2 linked regions of the Callithrix jacchus genome follow. The protein of the gene in region 2 interacts with the protein of the main gene of each other region in a pairwise test. Links are inferred from orthologs where the notes say so. Each region holds a gene or a part of one and is shown on either strand. Other genes may lie near its edges.

Region 1 (15,688 bases), on a different chromosome or scaffold from region 2:
GTGAGACTTTGTTCTAAAAGCTCTAGGAAAATAATACGCTCCAATCCTCCATTTATTAAAATATTTAAAGCTGGATTTCGTCTCTCTCTTAGTTTCCTATGTAAAATGAGGGAGCTCCACAACAGGACCTACAAGGGCTCTTCTGAACCAGGACCCCAGCTCCGCAGTTCTCAAACCTAAGAATTCACCTGGATGTGTTATAAAGTAGTTAGTTATACCTGGGTCCCACCCCCAGAGGTGCAGAAATAATTGGCCAAGGGTATGGCTGGGGCATGGGCATGTTCTAAAACTCCACATGGGATTCTGCAGTGAACCACTGGGGAGAATTTCTCTCAGCATTTATGAGTTCATCTCCTTGAACGTAGAAGCATCCAGTCAGGAAGACCATTCAGAAAGTTCCCTTCTATTCTTTTTGTTTGTTTTTGTTTTTTTTTGAGACGGAGTTTCGCTCTTGTTGCCCAGGCTGGAGTGCAATGGCGCGATCTCAGCTCACCGCAACCTCCACCTCCTGGGTTCAGGCAATTCTCCTGCCTCAGCCTCCCGAGTAGCTGGGATTACAGGCACGCGCCACCATGCCCAGCTAATTTTTTGTATTTTTAGTAGAGACGGGGTTTCACCATGTTGACCAGGATGGTCTCGATCTTTTGACCTCGTGATCCACCCGCCTCGGCCTCCCAAAGTGCTGGGATTACAGGTGTGAGCCACCGTGCCCGGCCGGTACCTTCTATTCTTTAATGACCATGTTAAATGAACAGCACTGCCCTGCAATATAATGAGGAATGTTTTGCTACTGCAAGTAGCAGGTAGCCGGCTCCGTGGGTGAAGCCCCAGCAGGCTGATCCCTGGCACAGAGATGGCCACGTGGATTTTCAACGGACAATCCAGCAACATATGGTGCATTCCTCTGGTTTTACACAAGCTGGGGTTTCCTGTCTCAGGGACAATAGGTAACATGTTTTGACTGATTCTTGTCAGGAAAGTGCTTCTGGGACAGGACAGGTGAAGCACATTCTCGGTAAAGCCTCAGTACTTGCAGTGTTATGCCACTGTGCTTTCCTCTCAGGATAAATCAAGTCACCAGTGACAACCTAGCCACTTATATCTTTCCAGCCCCTTTCCAAATTGATGTAAAACTCATGCAATCGTGTTTTGAGAAGCACTGCCTAGAACTCCAAGTGGCACCCTCTAAATCTATGCTGACCTACTGGAAATATTCTAAATGGATGTCTCAGCATTACCTTGCAAATTTACACTTGCCAAAGAATATCTATGAGGAATGGCACAGTCAGGGAACCACTTTCAACACAGCTTGACCAAGAGAATTGGTGTCAAAAGAATGAGAGGCTGAATGGACATTCTTAGAGGCTTAATCTTCTTGAGATAAAAGCTGAGAGCCCTTTTCACATGGAGCTTAAGGAGACTAGTTTAGCCAGGATGGGCACATGGGGTGGGAAAAGTATTGGTGGAGTGAATGATGGAAAGAGATAGTATTCTGTCCTGAATTAACAAGCATTCAAGAAAATTCCTTAATAGCCCTATTTTTATTCATTTGACAAATTAAGTGCCCACTCTGTGCCAGATACTGTGCTAGGTGCTGGGTTTTTATGACATTTAGCATAGACGCAGCATCTGCTGAAACTAAAACTCACTTAATGCTGAAAGGTAAATTTAGTGTGAATACAAACAAAATTGTCCATGTGGGGAGTTTTCACTTTGGAGGCATAAGTAGTTCAAAAGACAGACTTTCTCTCCCAATCTAGATAAGTATCACTTTTCTCATGGCCTGAGTGTTTCAGGAAACTGACCTACAGTATTAGGTCAGGAAGTGTTTCAGGGAAACTGACTTCCCAACAGCCCACCTGGGCTCAGGTTTGTCCTACTTTATAAAAGGCATACCTCTTGGGACAAGCCGGTTTGAAAATCCTTGCAAGCTGACCACCTCTCCAGGCCTAACCCAAGAGAAAGAAAAGGCAATCTTTGTTTATCTTTGCTCTCAGAAGCAGCCTTGCAATGCTCATCTTCTGTTACAATGTATGCTGATGTTTAATTGGTCCTCATACCCTGATGCAGTTGTCTTTTTGGTAAAATAAAAGAGGCAGGGTAGGCTAGGCATGGTGGCTCATGCCTGTAATCCCAGCAGTTTGGGAGACCAAGATAGGTGGATCTCTTGAGGCCAGGAGTTCCAGATCAGCCTGGCCAACAGGGCAAAACCATCTCTACTAAGAATACAAAATTAGCCAGGCATGGTGGAACACACCTGTAATTCCAGCTACTCAGGAGGCTGCGGCACAAGAATTGCTTAAACCCAGGAGGCAGAGGTTGCAGTGAGCCGAAATCATGCCACCACAATCCAGCCTGGGTGACAGAGTGAGGCTCTGTCTAAAAATAAATAAATAAATAAACAAACAAACAAATAAATAAATAAAATAAAATAAAATAAAATAAAAGAGGTAGAGTAGTGAAATGGAAGAAGTTCAGGGACCCAAATCCCAAAGTCTGAGTTCAATTCAAAATCTATCACACTAACTACACGGCCTTGAGCAGACACCTTTCTAAGTTTCTGTTTGACCACTTGTAGGGCAGTAATAATGTTTACCCTATAGGACTGTTGTGAAGCTTAGAGATGAGGGAGGCTTAGCGAGGGCAGGGATCCCATCTTCTGTGGTCCCTGGTATCCCAGGATTCAGCCCAAGTAAAAGTATTAATTATATTAATTAATACAATTAAGGATTTTATATATGATTATAACTAACATATGTATCAATACATCTAATTATATATTAATTATATACAGAAAACCATACATTTAGAGACATAAAAATTCATCTTTGATTTCCACCAGATTCTTTAGTGAACAACAACTAGACTAATAAAAGGGGTAGATTATACTCACAACAACAGATCATACAGGCTATGGAATACTGACTTTATGTGTGTAGTTGGGGCAGCAGTGTGTGACCAGGAGAGTTTCTATGTAAATCTCAACACAGAAAACTCACATGTTCCATAATAATGATTAACAAGGCAGATGCCTTCAAAGTGATAGCTGACTCTTTAAGGAGGAGCCCCTCGGCCAAGATAACCTCCATTTGGGGTGATGAGCAAATGAGAAAGGAAATGAAGACACAAGAATGCTGGCACACTGTATTCCATTTAGCAAAGAGTAAGAAGCACAGTCCCTTGGCATTAGAATGGATGTCAGGGGTCACAGAAACAAGAATTCCTTCCAAAATGCCTCTTTTAGCAAGTCACAGGGCCAGGCAAGGTAGCTCATGCCTATAATCCCAGAACTTTGGGAGGCCAAGGCGGGCGGACTGCTTGAGCTCGGGAGTTTGAGACCAGCCTGGTGAAATCCCGTCTCCATAAAAAATACAAAATTATCCAGGCATGGTGGTGCATGCCTGCAGTCCCAGCTACTTGAGAGGCTGAGGAAGGAAGATCACTTGAGCCCAGGAGATAGAGGCTATAATGAGCTGTGATCACACCAATACACTTCAGCCTGGGCGACAGAGCAAAACCCTGACCCTGTCTCCAGTATTGAGAAGACTGGTGCCCCCACTGGACTCACTGCTTTAAAAAGTGTTCCAAAAAAAAAAAGTCATGGTTCTTGCCATGGTTCAAGCACTCACATCTGGAAGGTATTGAACCTGGTTTTGCTGAAATGAAGAGCTAGAAAGTTGTTTTGTTACTGAGCTACTCTCTATAATTAAGCTCAATAAATATTCTGCCTGGTATATGGCAGCTCCTCAAATATTTAAAGAGCTACTGTGCACTTACTTCCCAGGTTAAACCTCCCCAGGACCCCCTCATTCTGATAACGGTGACTTCACAGCCTCCCACCCCAACCCCCTGTGACTTCCCAGATTTCACCTCAGCCACGTCTTCTCTTACACTTCTTCTGAAATGGCTAAAAAGCAAGTAAAGACACACAGAAGGACCCCACACTGAAGAACGGCACCTCTGGGCACCTTTAGTTACGTTAGTTACTACCGTAACCTCCTCATCAATTCAAGGAGAAGCGGTAACGAGCAGCTGTCAGTCATAACATCTGAGTGTAGTTACACTACAGTAGCCCCAAACCTCACTACAAAGCAATCTCAGCCACAAAGGAGCTTCCCACAAAATGAAACCATAGGAACACTTTGAAGATAATTTTAGTGTATTGAGAAGACTGGTGCCCCCACTGGACTCACTGCTTTAAAAAGTGTTCCACATATATGTGTGTATATTTTACAAAGGATGCGCCACAGAACATTAATTCTGTTGGATGTTAGGAAGAGTTCTATTTTCAAAAACATAAGTCATCTCAAACTCTAGGATCACACTTTTAAACAATTCCTTTGCTGAAAGTCGTCTAAGTCTTCACTATGCTTCTATGCATTATGCATACTGCAGAGAGAGAGAAGGGTCATACAGGGCTTGACAACAAAATATGTTAATTGATGTATTTTCTGAGTGGAGCATTGCAAAGAACACATTTCGGGAAATGCTGCATTAGCTCAATACTTGTGGGGCAGCACACTCATCAGGGGAGGTCTTCCACCTGATACCCTACGTCTTCCACTATGAGTACATAGGGGTTACCAAGGGCCCATAGGCACCCCCAGGCAGAGATGTCTGGGCCCTGACTCATGAGATCTTCAGGAGTACTTCAGCAGCTGTTTGGGATTTTTCTCAACGGATTTCCTCAGGGGACTAAGTGGAAGTTGGAAGTTGGAAAGTATCATCAAACTCTCCTTGAGATTCCTTTTTGATAATGTAAACATCCTTCTGGATTTGAATCTCAACTGTGTTCTCAAGTGGCAATTTCTTGCAGAAACTAACATAGCAGGACCACCGGGAAGTACTGTCTTGCAGGTACTGCAGCAGCGCTGTGCCTGCGTGGGTCCTGGTCCCAAGTGGCTACCACAGCTCGGGGAAGGCATGCAGGTCCACAGGAACAGACTAGAAATGTCCACTCTTCTGGGGCGGGGGGGTTCATCTGTCACGCTGCACCCCCATACTCTCTGCTTCTGTTCCTCTTTCAGTTTGCTGTGTGAGGCTTCCTCATAGCTGGCATGGAAATGCGGGGGATTGCGGGGGCCACGGAAGACCGAGAACTCTAATCATGTTCACATGAATATTATCCTACATCACAGATAAAATTGAGTGTCTAGTATCTGCTCGGCACTTTCACAAATGATTTCATTTAAACTGTAAGATAATTCTGTTGGGCAGTATGTCTGCTTTCCCAATACAGAGGCTCAGAGAGGGTGGAGAAACAGAGCAAGGAGTAAAAGAGCTGACAATGATGGCTCGTTCCAAAGCCCCAGCCCAACTGCTACATTTCCTCAACCCCCAGCAATATTTCTTTTCTTTGGAATATTCTAGAAGGAATGCAGCCCATACATACACATCCAGCATGCACCCGCCCAAACAGGAAACCCCAGCAGAACTAGTATAAAGAGGCAGGCGGACTCCGCCGTAAACTACGTGCTCGCTTTACTCGACCGAGAGCCAAATCTCCCACAGTCACAGACGTTTAATAAAGGGATGATAGTCAGGACCTCAGAGACCAAAGTAGCCACAGTGATGGACAAAGCAACAGTATTAGCAGTGCCAAGGTGCATGAGGCCCTCAAACATGAATGTCATGGGACGTCCCGGGGTGGGGAGAGTGCACTGGCACGGACAGAACGGCAACACTTTAACAAAGTGTATGGCTTTGCTAATTTTTTTTTTTTATTTCAAAAGGTTTTCTTTTTGTCTAATATTTTGGCACAAAATAGGCACAACACATTTTTTAAAAACTGCCAACTATTGATTAATCAATGGCAGGTTGTTAGAATTACAATTTCTTTTAAAATCTTAATGGCAAATAGCCCAGGTTGCTTCTAGGCATACTGCACATCTTTCTGCATAATGGAGGATTTGAAACCCTGGTACTTAACTAACGGTTTTCTTACAAAGAAAGTCTGTGAGAAAACACATTTGCATTACCTTTAGGGAGAGTCAACTACTCCCAGCAAGGGATGATTGTAAAGAATGGTGAGAAGAGAAGAAAGAATGAACAACTACGTCATTTCCTGGTTTCTCCTCAACAAGCTTTTATAATTTTAACTGAAATAAATCCAGAGGCCATTAGATACTTCTGCATCCAAAGGTAAACGCAAGGGAAAAGCATCCAAACGACTTCTTGGTTATCTGTAGTTTGGGATCATCTATATTTCTATTAATAAAAATAACAGGGACCCATATCAGATTTTTCTGAAAATGAAAACTAAAAACACTATGAACATATCATTGGGGAAAATGTTTAAAATTATAAAAAACCTGCATTTTGGAGTGAAATATTATCTGGATGCATAATATGTACAATAATTGTTCTTCCATAAACTCCGTTTTCAAAACCAGAGTTCATCACAGGAACATGAGTTTAAAAAATTAATCATCATGCCAGGAACTGCACTCTGCCATAAAAGCAAATCATTCTTTTCTGCTTACAAACAAAAACAAAACTACCACATATGCAGATGCATGCCTCAGTACCTTGATGCAATGGTGTATTTACTTGTATAAATATTTAAAGTCAGACCTTTGAATTTATAATGAAGTAGTACACCACTTTACAAAACAAGGTACTAGTAAATTCAGACTATGACAAATAGAACTCTGTACAGAATACTAATTGCTGCTGTTGATATTCTAAAAAGAAAAAAAATAATGATATCATTCAGATTCCACCTAAAAAAGCCTAATACATGTGCAGAAATCTTAATAGGTCTTGATGAAGCCTGATTGGTACAACTTTTAAATTATCAGACAGGTTTTTAACTGAGGCAAACGCAAGCTTCCTATTTGGCATTTTTTTTCTTAATTTCCTGCTCTTATTTTAATATACATATTCAATTACAACAGGAAAAAAAAGAGTAAAATCAGACACATCTATAGTTTGCTATGTAATGACTGGGTGTTCCCCAGGGAGATGGACCGTTTCACACAGACGCAGGTGCAAAGGGTGCGTGCTGGTGGATGTTACAGATGTAAATACGTAACACGGTGAGGAAGAATTCAGCAGACACGGTGATTTTCCACCTTAGTTTATGTTAACATAAGCATTTACGTTCTGCCCTTATGACTGATCTCCTGCTCCAGCACGCAGTAGCTGAATACACTTGCTCTTCGTGGGGTCCAAAAATCACTAACCAAAAATGTTCTGATTATACAACAATGCTAAATTCTGTGTTTGAACCTCTTATATAGCCATAGCTTTACCTGTGATTGGGATATCTGCAGCCACATTTTCTTTCTTGTTCTTGTCTCCACAGCCACTTGAAACTTCTAAAAATTGGATGTATAGTAATAAAAATGATTTCAAAGTTAAGAAATAGATCCTTTGGATGTTTAATTGCCATTCCTTTCATGTTCACTTTTTTTTGTTGTTGTTAATGTATTTCTTGTCTGAAATAACACTGTTACTAAAAGGAAACCTATTCTAAAATTAAGGCATCTCATAAATGAAAATTTAAAAATAAAATTAAATAAAGGTACTCTATGTTGCTTTCATGCAAAATAATTTGCCCTGACATCTATCAAATCTGGGTTAGACATGAAATAAGCAAGTCTCACATCCTGCACTTCTACATCGACTCGAGCAATTCCTGAGGAATTCATAGCTGTCTTGGAAAACCACATGTCTTAGCAGTAATGCTAAAATAATAACAGTTTCTGGGTACTCAAAACTGGTTAGTAAATTTTGGGGGCATAAATTCATTGATTCTTAATCAACTGTTTGGATACTGACAAGGTTCTATTACAACTAAAAGGTATGTTTACAATTATGAGTAAATTCCACTAAGTGATATCAAAAACTTCACAGTATTTTATGGAATCATCTTCATCTTTGTGGGAAAAAAATTATCTACTGCCAAGTGATTAGTTTTGTTAAGATTTCCCAATTTCTTCATACTTATTTTGTTAGAAAGTCACTAGAACTACAGACTTACAGTTAGATTTCCCATTCCTGTTAGACTAAAGGGAAGATGGTATAAAACAAATAACATATTATGCATATTAAAATCAGAGGTATTCTCTAGTCAGTGATAGTCCATAGGTATACCTCGAGAAGGATGATGGTCCTGAATGCCTTTTTGCTGTGGACACACACTTTAACAATAGTTACCTTGTTCCCTTGTAGGAACACTGTGGAGCCATACAGCAGGTTTAGCTTCCTTCACTCCACTATTGTCATTCAGAATAGATGACAAGCTGCAAGATGATTCACTACTGTGAACAGTTGACCTATGGCCACACTCTTCTGTAAGGGCGTTTCTCAATAATGCTGTTGCCTATAGTATTTCAAAAAAAAAAAAAGCACAAAGAAATAAAAAACTGCAGCCACATTTCCCTTGGTCTCAAAGACGTAGCCTTCAAATATAATTTTATGTTAAGCTTTACTTAGGATTTAATTTGTTTCCTACATTTAAATAAAATTTAAATGTCAAGATAAATAACACCTGGTCATTTTCTACTATAATCTAATTCCTTGCAAGTTACCCTCACAATAATACACTTTTTGAGGGCTGAATCTTATATAATGCAGAAATGTTTTTCTGCTTGTGAAGTATGCATATGAAATGTGACTACCTCTGTTAATCTGGGCAGGTTTATCCTCCCTTTGATATATATAAATGGCAGAGCCTCAGACCTCCTTTCTGAAGAAAAAATTTATTCTGTCATTACATGAATCCTATTTTCCAGGCATGTCAGACAGAATTACTCTGAACCGGGAAAGAGATCTGGAAAGATGTGACCTTGCAATATCCATATCCTCCTAAAAATGACCCATACACTTCCCCTAAACAAGAAGACTGCAGAAACATTTGTAACTGAAGAGGATGCACTGAGCACAAAGATAGCTGCCTCATTCTAAATCCCAATCTTCAATCAAGTACGAACATGGTCTGCACTTTGCCTCTAAGTTGGCGCGGGATCTGGGGGAACTCTCCCACCACATTGCTTATCTGTTTTCAAAGGCATTGTCTTACTTACATACATCATGTGTCCTGAGCAAGGGTGAGGACACAGGTTTTTATCAGAGCCAAATTTAGAGGTGGAGAAAAGGCAACTGCCTTTAGTCCTGACATCCCTGCAGAGTTCTTGCCTTCTGCCCTCCCTAGGACTGGCTGACCTCCTGGACCCATGGCCTACCCTAGGAGCTAGAACAGCTGATTAGGGGAATTTAAGGAGTTCTAGTCCCCTTGGCCAAAGAACTTGGTGTCAAGTTAGCCTTGCAGCCAGGACCTTTCTGTGGTACAGTTCTAGTGACCAGGGGCTTTTCCTCTGTTTCCAGAAACTACTCCCTGGATTTCACTCCACTGTGATAACTCTGTTGGGATGACCTGCTCAGTATGCCCATTTCTGCAGACTAAGGGGAAGGCATAGGGTCCTGCCTTTGAAGCCTAGGCCAAGGCTGGTTACAATCAATGCCCCCCCTCCCAATTGCCTACAAGGACCACTGCACTGTACCTGCTTCTGGAATCTACCATGAACACCTTTCCAATGAGTCCCAGTATGCTTGGTAAGAATACCGCCATTGCTAACAGTTCTACACTGAGCCCTTTCTCCATGGTGAGGTAAGCACTGTGGCGAGCACACTGCACTGCTAGTTTAGTTTACTTTGCATGCAGACACTCCTTGACTTTATGAAGGAGTCACATCCAATACACCCACCACAAGTTGAAAAAACGGTAAGCTGGAAACGTATTTAACACACCTAACCTTCTGAACATCATAGTTTAAGTTCTGCCTAACTTAAACTGCTCAGAACACTCACATTAGCCTACAGATGGGTAAGACAAAGCCTATTTTATTATAAAATGTTGATTTTCACATGGAATTTGTTGGATACTATACTAAAAATGAAAGATATAATTGCTGTATGGGTATTTGCAGTATGGTTTCCACTGAATGCCTATCACTTTCACACCACTGTGAAATCAAAAAGTTGTAAGTTGAACCACTGGAAGTCTGGGACTATCTGTATTTTATCCCATTTATCTTTACTACTCAATACTTATCTCCAGGATTTCTGTTACTTTTTTGATAGAAATGTTTATAAAAGAACATATCTTTTAAGATAATTCTATAGATAATTCATCAAAGATGATAAGCAGGGACAAAGACAAAAGTAGCCTCAGACAAGGATAGACAAGAATAGGTCATAGATTTTTAGTCGAAAACAACTTCTTTTTGAGACGGACTCTCATTTCTCGCCCAGGCTGGAGTGCAGTGGTGTGATTGCAGCTCACTACAACCTCTACCTCCCAGGTTCAAGTGATTCTTGTGCCTCAGCCTCCCAAGTAGCTGGGATTACAGGCGTGTGCCACCACAGCAGGCTAATTTTTGTAATTTTAGTAGACACGGGGTTTCACCATGTTGGTCAGGCTGGTCTCGAACTACTGTCTTCAGGTGATCTGTGCTCCTTGACCTCCCAAAGTGCTGGGATTATAGATGTGAGCCACTGCGCCTGGCAAAAACAACTTCTGCAGTCAGGAAAACATCTGTAACACATTCTCAAGATGTACTGTTTGCAGATGTTCCAGAAAAGTACATTTCTAAGGAAACCTCCAATATGAAGGAGATTACAATCTGAGACTGATGACACTAACCCACAGGGAAGCTCAGAGAAGAGTTAACAGGTTGCTTTACTAAATTTCATGCTGGGACTCAATGAGTTCTGCAAATTGGTGCTAATTCTCTGAAAAAATATCACCAGACAACAATTTTACCACAGGCTTTCTGATAGTGCTTATGAATGACCAATGCATGGGTTTCAACTTACCTGTTACTAATAAAGGCTCTCTTTGAATCATGTACATTCGGAGCCCAGAAGAGATAACCAGAGATTGTTTCACTGTTCTCAGCAGTCCAAAGCCTAAGTCAATACCAACAAACCACCCTCTCACTTTTCAGCCTTCCCAGGAGTCAGGAGAAAGGGCTTGGAAATTAAATGTCAGGGCACACACTACTTGTGGAATGACTGATGTTGATACCTCCATATTTCAGACATTATGGCAGATAAATCGTTCAATGAATTATACCTACAGTGCTATTCCTTTAATTATTAGCTCAGTTCTACCAGAATTTTCCTCCATGTTCAGTTTAAGTATTAATCTTGCTATGTCTAGAACCCCAAGAATCATCTAGGCTGACTCTTAAATTATATCCAAAAATTGAATGGTTGTGATATTCAAACATACAGACAGACAGATGAAGATATTAATGGAAACGACATTGTGTCCAAAACACCATTAAGAAAAATGACAGAAATTAAACTGCTAAAAATATTGCAACAAAATGTCCAAATTTATATGTTAAAAGTTTTTGCAAGTCAATAAGAAAACATATTACTAACCTAATGGAAAAATGAGCAAAGAACATGAGCTGGCAGATTATGAAAAAAGAACTACAAATAGCTAATAAATAGGTAGAGAAAAAGTTTGACCTCAATTGTAATAAAAAGGTCAAATGAACAACAAAAAAATTGGATGTCATTTTCATCTCTCAAATTGGTGCCCCTAAAAAAAAAGTTGATAGTATACAATTTCATAAAGAACTCAGAGAAATGATTTATTCATCCATTCCTGGTAACTCTGATGACCCTTCTAGAGTGAGATCTGGCTATGCATAGCAAAACCCTGAAAGATATACCCACCTTTTGACCTAATAATTCTACATCTAGGAATTCATTCTAAGGAAATATTATAGATATCTGTAAAATCTGAATTGCACAGATACTCTTGGAAACTTTTTTACTAGAGGAAAAATTAGAAAATGTTGAACAACAGGTAAATGACTGAAGTGACAGTAGACCTCTAGAAAGCCATTTGAAATGATGTAAATAGAACAGGTAATGGTATGAAAGAATTCACCTTGCAGCATATGGGGATAAACAAAACAAGGTGATGTGTACAAATAATGCAACCTATGTTTTTCAACATACTGAATTTTTTTTTTTCTTGAGACGGAGTTTCACTCTGTCATCTAGGCTAGAGTATAGTGGCACAATCTCGGCTCACTGTAACCTCCGCCTCCCAAGTTTAAGCAATTCTTGTGCCTCAGCCTCCCAAATAGCTGGGATTACAGGTGCGTGCCATCATACTAATTTTTCTATTTTTAGTAGAGATGGAGTTTTGCCATGTTGCCCAGGCTGGTCTCGAACTCCTGACCTCAGGTGATCCACCCATCTTGGCCTCCCAAATAAATATATTAAATATTAAAAACCACACATCATAATGTTAACAGGGTTATATATAAATAGCAGAATAGTGGGATCATGACCAGTTTTCTTCTTTTTGTTTACCTTACTATTTCAAGATTTTTTAATGCTTGTTTTTAAAAAAAAAAACATATGCTAGCTCTAAAGAAATCCAATTTCTGCTATTCATGGTACCAATACAAAGAGAAAATGAATGCAAATGCACCTGATAAAATGAAATTCCCTTCTATGTGCAAACCAGTGTTACTAATACAGACACAGAAAAGTAAAATAATTAAAAATCATGCATGTGGACAGCAGATATTTTCCCCTAATATGCAGATTTAGCTGACTCTTCCTTGAGGTTCAAGAACATTCCTTTTGGACACTGGAAGTAATTCCTTGGTCTTTAAAGAAAAGTGCAAGCATCATTACTTAAGTTCTAAGTTAAAGGGAATGAAGGGATTTTATCTGTGTAGCAATTTTTTTAAATTGGGAAGATATTTATATGACCTAGCAAATAAGTATGCAGGAGATAAGAACAAGAAAACAGTCCAGCATTTGGGGAAAGCATCTTCCTGGTGAATAAAACTGGTCTGTGTGTATGGTGAGGGCAGGACCCGATCTACTCTATGAGTGTCACCAGCAAGTTGCTCTGCTGTGACAAAGTTCTCCAGAGTGGAAACAGATATCCATTGGGAGAAAAGTAATATTAAGGCATTTTGTATTTTAATGAAACACCCAACTCATTTTTTCTCCACAAAAAGTAATTACAAATTTTTCTGATTTAAAAGCATGCAGCTCAATTATGTAATTGCCTAATGGGTTATGCGGGCACTGTGGACCTTATCTGGTCTCCTGGGGACATAATCTGAGTTTCTACGGCTTTGATGATGTATTTACTCAAGAGAAGGGATTGACTCGCTGACAGCACAGGGACCCACAGGTAAACATCATTTACATGCGGCTTTTTAATTAGCCATTTACCCAAGAGATCAAAAAAAGTATTTCTGAGCTTCATTAGACTCTTAGCTAAGGAGTTTCTAGTAGAGCTTTTTTAAACTTTGAAAATCACTTACTTTTAAGATTTTATCTAAAGAGAGAGATTTAACCCTAGCATTTACTAAATGTGTACATGGTTTCAATACACAGAAACAACTCAAAGACACTTTATTTCACTAATTGAAAAAGAATGACATGTAAACCAAAACAGTTCTAGGACTTACAAAGCATTTGATCCTTAGGTTCACAAACCTGCCCTGCTTGTATCATTTTGTTAATATTGTTCTTGGGGCTGTGCATTTCTTCAACCACATCCTAACTGTACGAGAAATTACCAGTTTACTTCCATTTTTAAGGCTAGATTTTGTCATTAATGCATTGGTAATTTTTATGATTGTCACTAAAGTGACAATCACATTGTGATCATTAAAGATCACAATGATTTAAAAACCAACAAAGATCTATTATGGAGGCAGAATATAATTTGTTTCATTAGTTATTAGTTGGACAGCACCCCCTCCCATTATTGGAAAAATTACGAGTGGATTGATTGATTGGGACTTGGACCATGTTTTCTAATATAAACAATACCATTTTTAAAAAAAGATTAGATAGTAAAAGACGCCAATCAACACTTATTTTACCCTTAAAATGCCTGAGATGTGATATACTTGCAGTGAACAAGTATAAAAAATAATGGTGTTATAAGACAGTGCTAAATCAAAGGAACAATAAAACCCAAACAATATCTTTCTTAAGATCTACGTTCATCAGCCGGGCATGGTAGCTCACACCTGTAATCCCAGCACTTTGGGAGGCCGGGGGAGGCAGATCACCTGACGTCAGGAGTTTGAGACCAGCCTGGCCAACATGGTGAAACCCTGTCTCTACTGAAAATTTAAAAAAAAATTTATACTCTTGCCATGGTGGCATGTGCCTGTAGTCCCAGCTACTTGGGAGGCTGAGGCAGGAAAATCGCTTGGACCCAGGAGGCGGAGGTTGCAGTGAGCCGAGATCATCACTGCACTCCAGACTGGGCAACAGAGCGAAACTCTGTCTTCAAAAAACAAACAACAAAAAAGACCCACATTCATCAACAGAGAAGGAATTGATCTAGGTTATCTTTGAAAAGGGGCATGAAATCTGTAAGAGGCATACAGGGGGCTGTATCTATCTTTTTAATAATTTATTTCTTCCCCCTAAAGCAAAGGGGAAGGGAAGGAAGTTTGAGGAGAAGAGAGAGGAGAGAGAAAGAGCAGAAGAGAGAGAAGGTGGGTGAAGTTGGGGTAGGACACAAGGAGGAGAAAGGGAGTGGGGTTCGAAGATGAGGTAAAGGTGGATGATGAGAAGGGGGTCTGAAACAAATACGGTGCAATGGTAACAACAACACAGGTGAATTGGGTTGTGGGCACGGGATTAGTGGGTCCGTCCTATCACTGAATATATGTATGTGTGAAATGCTAAAAAACAAAAGTCCTGCTGCTCTCTTAATTGGAGTGGCAAGGAAAGAGGTGTCTGAGTAGGACTAAAGGTGCTCTCGAAGGCTGGAGGGGCAATTCTAGAGGCTTTAGACAGCATAGCTACGTGGGCATGTGACTTTAGGACAGACGCAGCAAGGTGTGTCTCCAGAAGGTGCAGATATATAATCCTTGAACTATGAGCATGGTAATAATAGTTTTTAAAACACCTTAAAAAGAATCAAAGCCAGAAAATTCTATATTATGTATAAGGATGAAAAAACATGCTTTGAAACAAGACATATTCCCCAGATGTTCAACCTAGGAGAAGAAAGGCTGTTTCCCTGGGTGTGGCTTTTCTAGGGAATGAGGACAGAATATGCCAAAGGACATGCTCTAAACTTGGGTTTCTAGTTCTTCCCTTCAGAATTTCCTTGGGAACTTGCTCCATCCATTTCCATTTTCCGTTCATCTTCAAACTCTCTCTTGGCACCAGCTCCCAAATCATGACCCTCCTTCCTCTTCCCTGAACCACTGCTGCAGGGCTCTCTCCTTCAATGTCTCAGTCCCAAACCAAACATGAAATTCCCTAAGAAACTGCAGAAATCCTATCACAGCTCTGTTCAAAAAGCTCCAGTGACTTTTCAAAAGGTACGAAAGTCAACAGTCTCCGTGGCCTGGCACTGGATGCTGCACAGCATGGCAAGAAACTACCTCTTGTGCTCCTTCTTACCACCCCCAGACTTGAGCCCACGCTTCGGCCTCAGGATGTCCATGTCCCCTGAATTATGTGTTGGGTTCCCCAGTGTGTTCTTTGGCTCATGGCAACCCTCTCTTGTCGCTTCTGCCCCCATGCAACTCATACCATCAAAAACCTGTCATTTAAGGGTTCTCTCAGAGTCATAGCTTGGCTCTCTTTCCTGAAACCCCTATTTTTGCCATTTTCTTGTTATATGCATCCCATGATGTCAGACCCCAGAAGGAGGGGCCAT
Region 2 (16,221 bases):
GGCCCCTGGCAGGCGGGTGGAGCAGGCGTCCTGTGTTGCCCCTGAGCCCGTGCCCGGCAGGGCTCTGCTTGATGTCCTGGGCTCCTGGACCAGAGCCCCTCTGGGGCGAGGGGGGGTCCCTGTTCACCAGCTGCGTGGATCACCTCGGGCAGGGAGGGGAGGCATGTCACCTGTAGGTTGGGGTCTGCCTTGCCCTGCCCTGCCCGAGAGGGTGAAATGAGCTCATGTTCCTGGCAGAGGAGCCAGCACCTGGTGTAGAGGGAAGTGAGCTGCGTCGTGGGCGCGCTGGGGTGGGGGAGATCCAGCCTGAACCTGCCCAGCTTGGGCTGCCCTCCGGCCAGGGGCAGCCTCCAGGGGAACACCGTGGACTCTCTTGACAGCTGAGAGGGAGGCAGGTCGGGCACTAACCAGAATTCCCAGCCTCCTCTAGGAGAGGGCCCAGCCTGGCCACGCTCCCTCCTGCTCTGGGCCCAGGTCAGGAGCTGCTACCTCCAGGAAGGCCCTCCGTGGTGTCCTGGGTTGTCCAGAGTGCTGACCCCACAGAGGCGGGTGAGAAGCATGGCTTTGGGGCCTGTGCCTCATTGCCAGCGTTGGGGGTCACAAAGGCCCTTGAGCTCTAGGGCGTGGATCTCAGGGAGGCCCAGCTTCTCCAGGCACAGGTTGGGGGTGGGGAAAGGGAACTCACCTGGGAGCAGTTCCCTGCTTGGCGGACACAGGTGCGAACCTCCAGGCCTGGAGAGCCAGGAAGCCTGGCATGGTAGGGGGATACAGATGGGCATCCCCAGCAAGGATGGCGCTGGGTGGAGGGAGGAACGGCTGGGGGTCCCTGCAGTCTGGGGTCTGCTCTGGCGGTGCTGTGGGTGTGAGCCTGTGGGCCGGTGGCTTGGTGTGCACGGCTCAACTGCATATTTCTCATTCCTCGTGTCCTCCCCAGTGCGGTGTGTGTTCGAAGTGCTCCCACCCTGGGCCTACTAGGTGCCCGGGCTGCCAGGCCTGGCGTAGGACCAGCCACCAGACAGCTCCAGTCCATCTGGGGTGGGGTTGTGGGTGGGCCCTGGGGGTAATGAGGCCTCCTTCCTTGTCCAGAAGAGCCTGAAGGTTGCTGGGCCCAGGACAGAGAGGGCACAGGGCCACTTTCGGTCCTAGAGTGAGCACAGAGCTGGCCTAGCCACTGGCCTCGAAGGACGGATGTAGCTCCCATCTGCTCCTGTGAGCTGAGCCAGTTCCGACGCAGCCCTGCACCACGGGAACTTGGGCTGAGCAGGCCTGGGACCGGCTCCACCAGGCCAACCGCCCTGTTGCTCCGGCCTTGAACTTGTCGGGGCCCTGGTGCAGAGCATGACAGAGGTGGGTGATCCCCCATGTGTGGCCGGGGAGAACACTGACGGGAGCAGCAGGACCCCTCTGGCCACAGGGCAGCACCTGGAACCCACCCCAGACCCCCACTCCCTCTTCTCCTCACCCTCCAAGCCGCCGTGGCCTTGTCACCAGCCGACAGGCTCCATGGAGTGGGTGTGTGTGCCTGCACCTGTGTGTTTTCTGATTTCTTCTCACTGCCGCTCCCCACCCCACCCCAAGCCAGAAGATTCTCACAAGCTGTTGCAACTGGTCGGTCCCGCCATGCCCAGGACCTGGAACAGTGCAGGGAACAGACTGCGCTCAGCACACGTTTGATGTGTGAACAAATGACTGTGTGTGGGGAAACCTTTGAATCTCAGGGCTCTGCCCCCTCCTCTCTCTCTCTCCCCCCACCTTGGCAGATGGAGACATGGCTCCAGGGTGGGTGTGGGGGGTCGGGATGAAGATCTACCCAGGGCCAGCTGTATGGCCCCTACCCCACCCCAGCTGGGACTGCCTGGCACCAAGTGGGCCCTGCTGTCAGGATGCTCGAGGCGAGGTGTGGCCTCAGCTGCTGGGCATGCAGGGGCAGGGGTGGGTCCTGGGCACAAGCCCAGCCATTCGCACTCCCCTCTGCTGCTGGGCCCTATAGGATGCTGGCAGCTTGGCCTCCTCAGCACTGCCCTGGACCCATCCCCAGGCTGGAAAGAAACTCCCTCTGGGAACCCCTTGGGCTCACGGTCACCCCGGCTCTGCCCACACCGGTGCACCTCTGCAGACACCCCCTTGAGGATGGTGCCCACACCGTGGCTCTGCCTGAGTGCCTTTCACATTCCAGGTCTCTTAAGTGTGGATGGACATGGGACCTTTGCACACCTAGTGGTTGGGCCACCACTCCTGAGCTGAGGTAGCCCCTGGCCCACATGGGAGCCCGGAGCCCCCGGGCCTGAGTGTCTCACTAACAGCCCTGCTCAGCCCGGTCTCCCTCAGAAGCAAACACAAGTGCACCCCCGCCCCCTCCTCTCTCTCTGCAGAGTGGGCTCCGGAGCCCCCTGTGAGCTCAGCCAGGTGGGGCCTTACGTGTAATGGGGTTTGGGGACAGAGGGGACACAGGGCAGGGGCCCCACCACCCCCGACGCCAGCAGGGGCTCTAAGCCCTCACCCCCCATCCTACAGTCCGCCTACCAGGCTAGGCCAGATCCCCAGCCTGTGAGGGTGCCTGGTGTGCTGCCCCCAGCCCTGCCCTCCATAAACCTCCAGGGGCCTGATGAGTGCACAGGGTCCAGGGGACAGAGGGGCGGTAAAGCAGCAGGGAGGGCTAGTGGGGAGGGGGCTAGTGGGGAGGAGGTGGGGAGGGGGTTGGTAGGAAGGGGGCATGGTGGGCAGGGGGCACAGTGGGGAGGGTGCAGGTAAGGAGGGTGCAGGTGGGGAGGGGGCAAGGTGGGGAGGAGGCTGGTTGCGAGGGGCTGGTGGGGAGGGAGGAGGTGGGGAGGGGGCAAGTGGGGAGACCCTGTGGGGAGGCCAGGTGGAGGCCCAGGTGGCTCCTCGTCGTCCCAGGGTGGGGGTCCCTCCTGGAGGCCGGTCGTGGGGCGGTGGGGATGGCTGGGCCTGAGCGCTGTTGCGCCAGGTCCACAGGAGGGGCTCCGGTGGCCCAATGGCACCCCCTGCAGGCTGCTGGGGCCCAGAGGCTCAGGCAGAAGCCCCAGGAGTTGGGCTCCCCAGACCACCGGGGCAGCCAGGGCACACAGGTTCAACCCCTCCAACCACCGCACAGGCGGTGAGAACCCTGCTACTTGAGTGCACCCCAAAGAAGGCCCAGGCTCAGGCAGAAGCCCTCCTCCGACTTCGTCCAGCCCCAGCCCTGTGGGGACAGGGCTTTCCCCCAAAGTGCTCCTGCCCTGCAGACCTCCAGAAGAGAGACAAAGGACATTTGCTCAGCCCAGTAGGGCAGCCCGGAGCCTGGGCTTGAGTGCCGACCCTGGCGTCCTTCCCAGAAGGTGGAGTGATGGGCTGGAGGAGGGACCTCTGGCACCCACTTGGGCTTGTAGTGACCCTCACTGCCGTGGACCTTGAGGGACCTAGAGGGGTCTGGGGTTCAGCCTGGACTGGGGACAGCCCCCTAGCCCATGGGAGGGTGACCTGAGTCTGCCTGGGGGCTGGTGTACTCAGGTTGGCCAGGGCAGGGTGATGGCCACAGCGAGGACCTGGCAGGGAACGCTCGGGCTGTGCTCAGCCTGTCCTGACCTATCTCCTTCTCCGCCCACCCTCTCTTCCATCTAGCCCCGTGGCCTGCGAGCCCTGGGGAGCGGGAGCGTGGGAGTCAGCTTGGCGATGCGGCTCCACCGACCCTGTTGAAAGGATCTTGACCAGCCCAGGGAGGTAGCTGCGGACTCTACTCCTAGGGATAGAGGGGCGGGGGTGCTTCACAGACCTGGCTTCTCCACGTGGGGCTGAACCCTGCTCTGCCCTTGGGATTCGGATATTGGCTGCAGGGGCAGCTGGGCAGTGGGTGGGCATCAGGCTGGGCAGCCCCTTGGATGACGGGGTCTCGTCCTGCCTGAGACCAGCCGGCTTGCACCACAGACACGCGTTTCTCCACGTTCTGGAAGTGCCAGGTCCGTGATCAGGGTGCTGGCGGGTCGGTGCCTCCAAAGTACTGTCCCGGTCCGCCTTCTTCCCGAAAGGACACTAATCCCAGCAGACCAGGGCCTCACCCTCACAACCTCACCTAACCCTCACCCCTCCCTTCAGTGGGGCACATTGGGAGTGATTCTGAGCCCTGCCCTGAGCTGTGGGAAGGGCAGAGCCAGCTGAGCGCTGCCTCCAGGACTGTGCATGAGGACTCCCACAGAGGCCATCCCAGGGCAGCTCCTGTTTCCTTGAGCCCCCGTCCTGGCGGAAGGCCCACAGGGCGACTTCGTGGCCGTGCAGGGGTCCGGGCTGCGGAAGTCCAGGCCACGGCTGCATGCCCAGCTCAGGTCATGTTTACCAGGCAGGCCACTGCCAGGGCCCCCACCCGGCCTCGCAGCCCTGAGTTAACTCAGGCTCCAGGATAAACACCCATTCAGCCACACAAGGCCCCTTTGTCCTGGGAAAGAGGCTCCCAGCCCAGGACGCTGCCCGGTGGCCGGTGTCCTCGGCGCAGCCCCAGGCCCGGCCGGCTGCCCCGACACGTCCAGCTGCCCCACATGGCCTTCTCAGAGCAGGCTCCAGGCTTGGCTCAGAGAGGCCCCAGTGGGGGACAGGGCCCTGGGCAGCTGTCGGAGGAGCCAGGAGGCCAGAGCGGCAGGGCTGAGGAGGACCTGGCAGCTGCCCCGTGTCCTGAGACCTCAGCAGAGCAGACCTGACCCTGCAGAGGGAGCTGGGAGCCCTGAGGCCGGACGTGCCTGTGGCAGTGGGGAGGCAGCTGGTGACCTCTGGAGGCTCCAGGGCCCTGCTGCTCCCCCATATCCTCAGCCCTGAGCAGGAGAGGGAACCTCACCCTGTGCTTGGCCCACCTCCCCCAGCCAATGGTCACTGGCCTGTGCCTCAGTGTCTTGTCTGTGCAGTGGCCGTGGCAGGCCCTCAGAGGCTCTCAGCCAAGGACTGCCCCCTATCGTCACCCAGGCTCAGGGCTGAGATGGGGGGGGTCCCTGCTGGGGAGAGGAGGGGTGCGATGGTCCCATGAGGCCGTCAGGAGGTGCTGCATGAGCATGGGTGGCCATGGCGGGAGAGAGGAATGGCTCCCAGAGCCCTCTGAGGCCCATCCAGTCTGTGCCCCAGCCATGCCTGGCCATTGCTGCTGTGGCCTTCTGTCCCTGTGCCAGGGTCCCTCCTCCAAATATGCAAGAACCCACCTCCCCACCCGGGGGACACCCCAGTGGCCACCCAGGCTGAAGCCCCGCCTGCTCCTCAGCCTCCCTGGCGGTCCACGTGGCTTCCCAGCACCCCGGCCCCGCCCTCCAGAGTGTCACTCACCTGGTCCGGTCCCTGCGTGGTCTGTGGTGGCAGCGACCCCTGGCGGTGGCTGGGAGTGATGTTGTGCCCAACCGAGGGCCAGTCCTGGGCTGCTGCTCACCAGGCCTACAGGGCAGCTTACAGAGCCTTGGGAACAGGTCCTGGGACTGGGACCCCCGGGCTCAGACACTCCTGCAGCCAGATGTAGGCCTGAGTCCCTCTGTGTGGGGATTTCTGACACAGCAGCACCACCAGCTGCCGGTCACTCTCAGTCCCACCCAGCCCTAGGAGGTCCTGGCCCTCTGGTTCGTGCTAGGGTCCTAGGTGCCATGGCTGAACCTGGCAGCCAGCATCTCTCAGCTCTGTGCCCAGAGTTCCTGGGGTTCCCCAGCTGGGCGGAGACTCTGCCAGGGCTCCTGGAAGTGGCCTGAGCTCCAGTGCACCTGTGCAAGTGTGAGACCTGCAGGACGGGGCTGCTGGAGATGGGGCTGGGGGTTGGGGAGGAAACCCTGCCATCTGGAGACGGGACTTCCTCAGGGAAGCCGGCTTTGCTCTGAAGGCTGATGGGAGCTGAGCGGCTGCACCGCAGGGGCCTCCCTCCGCACCCACACCGAGGTGAGGCGCAGCTAGCTGGGGCTGAGGCTCTCCAGGGCGGCTCCAGCATCACACACGCCTGGCTGTTCACGGTTTTTGTCTGTCTGGACTGATGGGTGCACTTGATGCCAGAACTGTGTGGCTGACCCAAGTTGGCAGGGGTAGACTGGGCAGGCCTGAGCCGCCTCCAGCCACTGGCGGTCCCTGCCTGAGGCCGAGCAGAGAACCCTTTGCTTCACTGAGACCAGAGCAGCTTCAGTTTACACCAAAAGGAAACTTTATTTAGTCATCTTTTCAAAGCAATCTAGCTTTAGACAGAACAAGAAAACGACACCTAAAAGAACTGGACAGACGGACAGACAGGAGGGGCTGCAGCTCTGGGTCAGATCTTCGCCATCTTGGAGATGAGGTCGTCACAGATCCTGGTCAGCTCCTCATTCTCTTTAGTCTGGAGGAGGAAGATGAGTTAGGGAGGGAGCAGCAGGCCCAGGGGCCTTCCAGAAGCTGCTGCCACAGGGCCCCATGGGCCAGGCTCCCCGCACCCACCTTCTCCTCCACGGTCCTCTCCAGTGACTGGACCCGCATCTGCTCCTTCCTCAGGCTGGCCTGGAGGGCCAATGCTTCCGCCTGGGCCTTGCTCCGGACCTGGGCGATCTCCTCGTTTGCCCTGGAGGAGGAGGAGCAGGGGCAGGGCAGAAGCTGAGCTGGGCCCAGGTGCCCAGACTCTTCCCTCTGTGGGCCCAACACTCACAGCTGCAGCTTCTCCTCGGCGTGGGCCTTCAGGGCCTGGTACCTCTGGCCTGCCTGGGTGACCCTCACCAGGTAATCCTCTGCACACTTCTTTAGTGACTCTTCATTCTAGGAAGGGGCAGGCATTAGCTGTGGGCACCACATGATCTGCGAGAGCACCCAGGCTTGGTGTCCAGGGACCTGTGGGTCACCAGTCATGAGGCAGCACCTCCAGTTTTCCTTTAAAAATATCCCCTCGCAGGGCACGGTGGCTCACGCTTGTAATCCCAGTACTTTGGGAGGCCGGGGGTGGATCACGAGGTCAAGATATCAAGACCACCCTGGTCAACAAGGTGAAACCCCGTCTCTACTAAAAATACAAAAAATTAGCTGGGCACAGTGGCGCGTGCCCACCAGGATGGTCTCGATCTCTTGACCTTGTGATCCACCCGCCTCGGCCCCCCAAAGTGCTGGGATTACAGGCGTGAGCCACCGCGCCCGGCCCCGATTTTCTTCTATGCGCCGAAGCGAGCCCGGCAATGCTCTTCTGAACATGGAAGACAGTTACCTTCAAGTCTGAGTCTGCACTGGGTCCTCCATGATGGGTTTAGATGTACAAAGAGGCCTCCATGAGAAAGTGGGGAGGTGGCCGGCGGGAATGGAGGCGCAGGCCTGCCCCGGGGAGAGGCGAGGCCAGGACAGCAGCTCGGAGCACAGCCCAAGCTGAGGGAAGGCCAGTGAAGCTGCTGTGTCCTCAAGCCAGTGGCACCATGTGAGGGGCCCACCCCTGCGGTGGGCACTCTGCCGCCAGCTCCAACGCCTGGGAATCCCGTGGGTCTAAACATTTTTTTTTTTTATTTTATTTTAGACACGGGGGTCTGGGTCTATTGCCCAGGCTGGAGTGAAGGGATCTAATCACAGCTCACTGCAGCCTCGGCCTCCTGGGCCAAGTGGTCCTCCCACCTCAGCCTCCTGAGTCGCTGGGACCACAGGCATACATCACCATGCCTCACCCTAATAGCTGGTTCTGATCTTCAATCACCTTTCCTGTTTCTTTCATACCTAGTGATTCTGTGCCAGATACTGATCTAAAACTCTGTAGCAGCAATTGAAGGTGGAAGATGTGGTTTTCCGTAGGTTCTTTCCTAGTTTTCCAGGCTGCTTCTCTTAGGCAGCTGTGCCCCGGCCACTGGCGCCTACCTGACATCAGGACTGAGAGAAGGTGTGGCTCAGCCAGGCCCCACAAGGGCCCCTGTTCTAGCCGAGTTCAACTTCCAGGGCCCCCATCTGGCATCCCCAACCCCTTGCAGCCCCACTGTCAGCCCCTCTTCCAGGTGTGCCCACAGGCCCAGCTCCTGACAGCAGGCGGTGAGCACCTCCGCTCCAACTCTGCTGCTGAGGGCAGAAGCGTCTGGCGGCCTCGCAGCCCCTCCCAGGTCTGCTCCGGGCAGATGGGTGGCCCAGACATCCCTCCTTCCAGCAAGCCTGTGGGCCTTGCCCAGCACAGAAGGCGGAGGGGGCTCAGAGGCCTGCGGCCAGGACACTGGGGTAGCCTGGCACAGTGTGCCCACCTTTGTGTGGGCCTCCTGCCTGGGATACACATGCCCAGGTCGCGCTGTAACAGCCCAGGCTTGACTCCCTTTCCGAGATGCCCCATACCCCGGTGCACCCACGCAGTCTCGCATCTCACAGGCACTCAGTCACAGCCAAGTCATCCTTCACACGGCGGCAGGAACTCAGACGGCCTCCCGCTCACCTGGCCTTCTGCAAACCGGCTAGGCTGTGACTCCTGCACCTGCGTCTTCACAAGTTACCCAGGCCCGAGTGACAAGGGGAGGCTCGGCCAAGAACAGAGGTGCAAAGACAGCACCTGGCAGCCCCGCTGGCCTGGCCCGTGAGCCTGCCAGCCTCTGCGGGGAGGACACCGGGTGGCGGGGACGTACCTTGCGGTAGCCCTCAATCACCTCCTTCTGTTTCTCAAAGCGTTTGAAGAGGTCAGAGAAGGACTTCTCCATGGAGTTCAGATCTGCAGTCAGCTGGTCTTTTTCTTGTAGAACTTTCTGGATGTCGGCTTTGGCAAGTTCCTTCTGTTTCTGAACCTCCTCTTGAGAAATGAAAAGCAAACGTTCAGGAGGCGGAGACTGAAACACAGAGTGCCAACACAGCCCCAGGAATGCGGCAAGGGGCTCCAGTGCCAGGACAGGAGGAGGGGGAGGCGGTGTGAGCCTCCAGGACAGGAGGGGGAGGCGGGTGTGAGCCTCCAGGAGAGGAGGGGGAGGCGGGTGTGAGCCTCCAGGAGAGGAGGAGGGGGAAGCGGTGTGAGCCTCCAGGAGAGGAGGAGGGGGAAGCGGTGTGAGCCTCCAGGAGAGGAGGAGGGGGAAGCGGTGTGAGCCTCCAGGAGAGGAGGAGGGGGAAGCGGTGTGAGCCTCCATGAGAGGAGGGGGAGGCGGGTGTGAGCCTCCAGGAGAGGAGGGGGAGGCGGGTGTGAGCCTCCAGGAGAGGAGGGGGAGGCGGGTGTGAGCCTCCAGGAGAGGAGGAGGGGGAGGCGGGTGTGAGCCTCCAGGAGAGGAGGAGGGGGAGGCGGGTGTGAGCCTCCAGGAGAGGAGGGCAACAGGTGTGAGCCTCCAGGAGGAGAGGAGGGAGGCGGGTGTGAGCCTCCAGGAGGAGAGGAGGGCGGCAGGTGTGAGCCTCCAGGAGGAGAGGAGGGAGGCGGGTGTGAGCCTCCAGGAGAGGAGGGCGGCGGGTGTGAGCCTCCAGGAGAGGAGGGCGGCGGGTGTGAGCCTCCAGGAGGAGAGGAGGGAGGCGGGTGTGAGCCTCCAGGAGGAGAGGAGGGCGGCGGGTGTGAGCCTCCAGGAGAGGAGGGCGGCGGGTGTGAGCCTCCAGGAGGAGAGGAGGGAGGCGGGTGTGAGCCTCCAGGAGAGGAGGGCGGCGGGTGTGAGCCTCCAGGAGAGGAGGGCGGCGGGTGTGAGCCTCCAGGAGGAGGGGAGGGCGGCGGGTGTGAGCCTCCAGGAGGAGGGGAGGGCGGCAGGTGTGAGCCTCCAGGAGGAGGGGAGGGCGGCAGGTGTGAGCCTCCAGGAGGAGGGGAGGGCGGCAGGTGTGAGCCTCCAGGAGGAGGGGAGGGCGGCAGGTGTGAGCCTCCAGGAGGAGAGGAGGGCGGCAGGTGTGAGCCTCCAGGAGGAGAGGAGGGCGGCAGGTGTGAGCCTCCAGGAGGAGGGGGAAGCGGTGTGAGCCTCCAGGAGGAGGGGAGGGCAGCAGGTGTGAGCCTCCAGGAGGAGGGGAGGGCAGCAGGTGTGAGCCTCCAGGAGGAGAGGAGGGCAGCAGGTGTGAGCCTCCAGGACAGGAGGAGGGGGAAGCGGTGTGAGCCTCCAGGACAGGAGGAGGGGGAAGCGGTGTGAGCCTCCAGGAGGAGGGGAGGGCAGCAGGTGTGAGCCTCCAGGAGGAGGGGAGGGCAGCAGGTGTGAGCCTCCAGGAGGAGGGGAGGGCAGCAGGTGTGAGCCTCCAGGAGGAGGGGAGGGCAGCAGGTGTGAGCCTCCAGGAGGAGGGGAGGGCAGCAGGTGTGAGCCTCCAGGAGGAGGGGAGGGCAGCAGGTGTGAGCCTCCAGGAGGAGGGGAGGGCAGCAGGTGTGAGCCTCCAGGAGGAGGGGAGGGCAGCAGGTGTGAGCCTCCAGGAGGAGGGGAGGGCAGCAGGTGTGAGCCTCCAGGAGGAGGGGAGGGCAGCAGGTGTGAGCCTCCAGGAGGAGGGGAGGGCAGCAGGTGTGAGCCTCCAGGAGGAGGGGAGGGCAGCAGGTGTGAGCCTCCAGGAGGAGGGGAGGGCAGCAGGTGTGAGCCTCCAGGAGGAGGGGAGGGCAGCAGGTGTGAGCCTCCAGGAGGAGGGGAGGGCAGCAGGTGTGAGCCTCCAGGAGGAGGGGAGGGCAGCAGGTGTGAGCCTCCAGGAGGAGGGGAGGGCAGCAGGTGTGAGCCTCCAGGAGGAGGGGAGGGCAGCAGGTGTGAGCCTCCAGGAGGAGGGGAGGGCAGCAGGTGTGAGCCTCCAGGAGGAGGGGAGGGCAGCAGGTGTGAGCCTCCAGGAGGAGAGGAGGGCAACAGGTGTGAGCAGGTGTGGGGTGGCATCTGCCCCCACCCCAGCCCTGCTGCTAGCTCAGCATCTGCACAGATTTGGGGTCTGAGGAAGGCTGGCTCTGTGGATCCGTGAGCTGCACTGACCGACCGCCAGCTTCCCCCCAGCTTGCCTCGTGGTTCCATGGCTGGGCCATGTTGAAGGGCCTTGTGGGTTAGGAAGAGTGGCCTCAGGAGAGTGGGGCCCTAGGCAGCGTGCGGGGCAGGGCATGGCTGAGGTGCAGGCAGCCCCTCATGTCCTCGGTGGCCTGGCACTTACCCATGACCTGGTATGTGACCTCCTCGAACCTGTCCATGATCACCCTGTGGGAGGCGAGCAGACACATCCATGGCCTCAGATGCGCCGCAGCCCCAGGCCGGGTGGGGACAGGGGCAGGCGGGGCCTCCTTACCCCAGCTCCACGTTCTTCCTCTGGAGCTCCTCACACCTGCTCCTCAGCTCCTGGTTCTCCTCCTGTGCCGCCTTCACCTGCTCAGGCCACACCTGAGTCAGCAGGCAGGCGGGCTGGACACCCCTCCCAGGACCTCCCCACAGCGTGGGGCCGGCCCACCCCGACGTCCCTGGAGCAATGTCCAGAGCCGCAGTTCCATGTGGGCCTTCAGCGGGACCCTGGGAGCCCCACTGACGCTAAGGCTGCCTGCTCCACATGTGCTCAGTCGCCAGGGGGCAGGAGGCATGGGGCTGTGGGCTGTGCTCCTGGGTAGAACCAGCAGGCGCCCAGCGGGTGTGTGTCCCTGCGTCCACCCCCCAGGGGCCACCTGCATGGGGAGCCCAGGCCCGCAGAGGGGAGGGCTGGCCACGCTGTGGTCCTTAAGCCTGCTCTGGGGTTACGGCATGGGCTCCAACACCAGGAAGGGGGTGTTGGGGAACCGGGTCAGGATCGTGTCACAGGCCCAAGATGACACCTGGGGTTGCCGTGACCGACACTGGTTCAGATGTGGGGGCTCGTGCCCAGCCCTGCCGCCAGCGTCCGGAGCCACCCTGTCCCCACCTCCCCAGGGATTATCTGGCTCACAGTGGTGCCCACAGCTCTCGTAGGGACAACTTAGACCTGGAGTTAGGACGGGCTGAAGCCTGGCGTGTATGGGAGGATAGAGGGAGACGGGCAGGGGACCCTCAGATGTGGGCGGGTGGAGATGGCGCTTCCTAAGCTGCCCAGAGATGCGTCTGGACTTGTGGAAGGGCAGCAGGAAGGGGCAGCACTCAGCTTTAACGCAGCGAGAGGTTGCTGGGGTGAATGACACGCTCAGGCTGGAGAGCCCTGTGGAGGCAGCCGGTGGGCAGCTGGCTGTGGGGACACTGGGTGGAAGCTTGGAGCCTCAGTGACCTGGGCAGCAGTGACAGGCCAGGGGTCAGCAGCTCTCTGCAATGCCACCCCAACCAGCAGGGGCAGGGATGGCGGGGACAGCTGGTCAGGCCACTGGACCCCACCTGTGCCTGCTGTTGGCCAAGCCCGAGTGGCCTGCAGGTTCTGTGGAGTAGCCACCACCTGTGTCCTTACCGCCGTGTCCAGGTCCTTCTGGCTGTACTGCAGCAGGTCCACTATAGGCCCGGTGGACAGGGGTGGGCCGCCAGGTGCAGGGACACCTGGGGGTGGGTCTGGAACCTGTGGGAGATGGGGATGAACCATGAGCCCATTTCACCCTTGCCTCTCGTACCTCTGACCTGGTGTGAGGGAGGGAAGAGCCTCAGACAGTGCAGTGGGGGACCCATGACAGAGCCAAAGACTTCAGACCCCCAGGAATAGGAAATATAGGCCCTAAAACAACCTGCCTCCTCAGACCACAAGGTGGATGGTTCAAGAGGGACTGAAGTACTTACCGGAGCATCCAGTGCTCCCAAGAAATCCAACTCCACAAGGGTGGCTTCCCGCGGACTTCCTGAGGGAGGCTCCTCCACACCGTGCGTGCTGCTGCCAAGTGGAGGCAGCCTCGGTCACTCAGGCCCTCCCAGTGTTGAGCAGGACACAGAGGACCATGCGGACAAGCCAACCGGGCTCTTTGCTTTTTAGTTTAAACCACTCAAGTCAGGACGGTGGCAGAAAACGCAGGCCCACGTCCAGCAGGCCCGGTCTCTCTGCTGCCCCAAGCCCTTCCCTCACGTCCCCATCCACAAGGCGGATCATCCTTCTGGAGAGCTGTGATGCTTCCTTACCCACTGCAGGCTGAGTGGGGCCGCTGATGCCTCATCTGGGGGCCCTCACAGCTTGGAGGCTCATTTTCTTTTTGTTTGAGACAGGGTCTCACTCTGTCGCCCAGATGGGAGTGCAATGGCGTGATCTCGGCTCACTGCAACCTCCGCCTCCCAGGCTCAAGCAATCTTCCTGCCTCAGCCTCCCGAGTAGCTGGGACTACAGGCACCCGTCACCGTGCTCAGCTAAGTTTTGTATTTTTAGTAGAGATGGGGATTCACCATGTTGGCCGGACTGGTGCTGAAATCCTGGCCTTGTGATCTGCCTGCCTCGGCCTCAGAGTGCTGGGATTACCGGTGTGAGCCACTGGCCAGGCCGTGTCAGGCCTCTGTCATACTACTTGGTTCTGCCCTTGTAGTGTGAAAGTTGCCACAATTTTCAAAGGGATGGGCATGGTTCTGTGACAACTTTATGTACACAAACAGGTGCCAAGTCTGGCCTACAGGTCATCGTTTGCTGACTTCTGCTTTAGAGGAGCTACATTAAAAACATTTAAGTTTAGCTCTTTAATCCACCTGGCAGGTGGCTGTAACCAGCAAGGCAGTAGCTCTGTGACTGGAGGGCGGCTGCTGTCACTCCCACTGGGCTGATGTGGCCCCTGCCACACGAGGCTGCTGCTCTGGGCTCGCCGCCCTGCCCGCTCCTCACCACGCCTCTTTTCTAGTTCAGGTCATCTCACCCTGGTCTAGAAGCCTCTGCAGACAGCACACATAGGAACAGCCTCCCGTCCCCCTACACCCAAGACTTCATGCCCGGGGAGGGCTGGCTTGCGTACCTGCTGGTCTCTGTGGCCACGGGCCCTGGTCTTTGAGGACTGTCCTTCAGGAGAGGGTCAAACTTGAGGTATAAGGACTGCTTCCTCAAGGCCGACTCCTTAAACTGGGGACAAGAGGGCAACTGAGCAGGTCTGACTGCCATCCCCTAGCACAGACGTTGGGGCTAGGGCCAGGGAGGTCACACACATACTCCCACCTCCGGTCACCGCAACCCCACCCGAAGCCCTGCATTCCTAGCAGCACGGTGTCAGAGTTCATCCCAGGCAAGTGCTGGGGGAGGGCCTGGCCACAACCATAGGACTCCACTTAGAGATGCAGCAGAAGGGCCAGGGCCCATGTGCAGCTGGGGGAACATGGGCACCAGGGGACGTTCCAGGGTGAAGAGCTGTCGGGGCTGCCCTCAGCACACCCTGCAGGGGAGGCTTCGCAGAGCTGCCCAGTACCTACCGAGGAAGCTCCAAACTGCTCCAGGTAATCCACCTCTGCCCCTGTGCCTAGAACTGAGAGGGCACAAGTCACAGCACTGTCACCGCCCCACACCAGGGCCCCAAGGGCTAACGGACTCAGTGAGGCAGGACCATGGTTCCTTATCGAATAAAGCAGCATTCCAGCCAGCAGTGTCTCATTGAGACCCAGGCCAAGGTCCTCTGCAGCACAGGAGGACTTCCTCCTCGGAGGTGCCCGTGTTCCAGGCCTGACTGCTCACTGGCAGGTGTGTCCTGGGCACTGCAGGGTGCCATGCAGCATCCCCAGCCCCCACCCACTCCGTGCCAGCAGCACCCCCAGGTATGACAACCAAAGCATCTAGGGGAAGGAGGGGGCAAAACTGCTCTGGTTGAAACAATTCTAGTCTTTAAGATTACCCTAGACAAATCTTTTAATTTTTGATAATATAACCTTTGGTTAAAAAAACGTTAAGAGTGGGCCAGGTGTGGTGGCTCACGCCTGTAATCCCAGCACTGTGGGAGGCTGAGGCAGGCAGATCACCTGAGGTCAGGAGTTCGAGACCAGCCTGACCAATGTGGTGAAACTGTCTCTATTAAAAATACAAAAATCAGGTGTGGTGGCTCATGCCTGTAGCCCCAACTGCTCGGGAGGCTGAGGCAGGGGACTTGCTTGAATCCGGGAGGCAAACGCTGCAGTGAGCTGAGATTGCACCACTGCACTCCAGCGTGGTGACAGAGCAAGACTCCTTTAAAAAAGCAAAGCAATGATAACAAAATCCCCTAAGGGTAGAGGCTGAGGCGGGCAGATCACCTGAGCCTAGGAGTCTAACAGGGCAAAACCTTGTCTCCACAAAAAATACAAAAATTAGCCAGGCGAGGTGGTGCACACACCTGTAATCCCAGCATTTTGGGAGGCTGAGGTGGGTGGATCATCTGAGGCTGTTGGGAGATCAAGACCAGCCTGGCCAACATGGAGAAACCCCATCTCTACTAAAAATACAAAAAATTAGCTGAGCATGGTGGTGTGTGCCTGTAATCCCAGCTTCTTGGGAGGCTGAGGCAGGAGAATTGCTTGAACCCGGGAGGCAGAGGTCACAGCCAGCAGAAGTCGCACCACTGCACTCCAGCCTGGGCAACAAGAGACAAACTCCATCTCAAAAAAAAAAAAAAAAAAAAAAAAAAAAAAGTGCCTCATACCATATACAAAGATGAACTCAAAAGTGGATAAAAAACCTAACTGAAGGCGAAAACTATCTCAGACATACTAGTTTTTTTGGTAGTGGAGGAGTCTTGCTACATTGCCAGGGCTGTCTTGACCTAGCTAAAAGCAATCCTCTAGCATCAGCCTCTAAAAGTCTTAAACTTTGGCCGGGCACAGTGGCTCGTGCCTGCAATCCCAGAACTTTGGGAGGCCAAGGAGGGTGGATCACCTGAGCTCAGGAGTTTGAGACCAGCCTGGCCAGCATGGTGAAACCTGTCTCTACGAGAAACAAAAATTAGCCCAAAATAAATGAGCTGAGCGAGTGGCACGCACCTGTAATCCCTGCTACTCAGGAGGCTGGGGCAGGAGGATTGCTTAAACTGTGCTCCTGCCTGGGCAACAAAGAGCGAAACTCTTGTCTCATTAAAAAAAAGGCCGGGTCTCCCTCTGGCTGAGATCCAGGCCGGGGTATCTCTAGTTCTGTCCCTCTCTTCACACCTAGTAGTATTTCTTTGCTCATTCTTTCCTTTTTTCAACTAAGCTAAAAAACGGTTGCCAATTATTTGGTCTAGAAAAGACTTGTAGGTCTTCTCTGCTACAGATAGCTTTGTTGTCAGTTTTCACTTCTGCCCCTGTTTTCCCCTTTCCTTCAAACAGGGTCTCACTGTCACCCAGACTGGAGTGCAGTGGTGCCATCACGGCTCACCGCAGCCTGGACCTCCTGGCTCAATCGTGCCTCCCACCTCAGCCTCCCATGTAGCTGGGACTACAGGCGTGTGCCACCATGCCCAGCTCCTTACGTCTTTTTCGGGTAGAGATCTGGTCTTGCCATGTTGCCAAGGTCAGTCTTACGATCCTCCTGCCTTGGCCTCCCAAATGCTGGGACCACAAGTGCGGG

What was found.
Region 1: the proteins of TACC3 (region 2) and KIZ interact in binary tests that used the Homo sapiens proteins (3 or more experiments, as listed by UniProt). The two-hybrid records come from large-scale screens. The link is inferred for Callithrix jacchus from reciprocal best matches to the Homo sapiens genes TACC3 and KIZ.

What each region holds. Positions count from the first base shown.
Region 1 is NC_133506.1:28,235,100-28,250,787, reverse strand, and holds part of KIZ (centrosomal protein kizuna), read right to left. Parts: intron 8,327-15,688; coding exon 8,161-8,326; intron 7,320-8,160; coding exon 7,254-7,319; intron 1-7,253. UniProt on the Homo sapiens protein: Centrosomal protein required for establishing a robust mitotic centrosome architecture that can endure the forces that converge on the centrosomes during spindle formation. Required for stabilizing the expanded pericentriolar material around the centriole.
Region 2 is NC_133504.1:191,399,099-191,415,319, forward strand, and holds the end of TACC3 (transforming acidic coiled-coil-containing protein 3), read right to left. Parts: intron 14,177-16,221; coding exon 14,124-14,176; intron 13,780-14,123; coding exon 13,676-13,779; intron 12,622-13,675; coding exon 12,531-12,621; intron 12,316-12,530; coding exon 12,211-12,315; intron 11,178-12,210; coding exon 11,101-11,177; intron 11,013-11,100; coding exon 10,969-11,012; intron 8,702-10,968; coding exon 8,541-8,701; coding exon of another isoform or gene 8,373-8,540; exon of another isoform or gene 7,166-8,372; intron 6,727-7,165; coding exon 6,620-6,726; exon of another isoform or gene 6,614-6,619; intron 6,536-6,613; coding exon 6,415-6,535; intron 6,317-6,414; coding exon 6,251-6,316; 3' UTR 6,128-6,250; downstream 1-6,127. UniProt on the Homo sapiens protein: Plays a role in the microtubule-dependent coupling of the nucleus and the centrosome. Involved in the processes that regulate centrosome-mediated interkinetic nuclear migration (INM) of neural progenitors.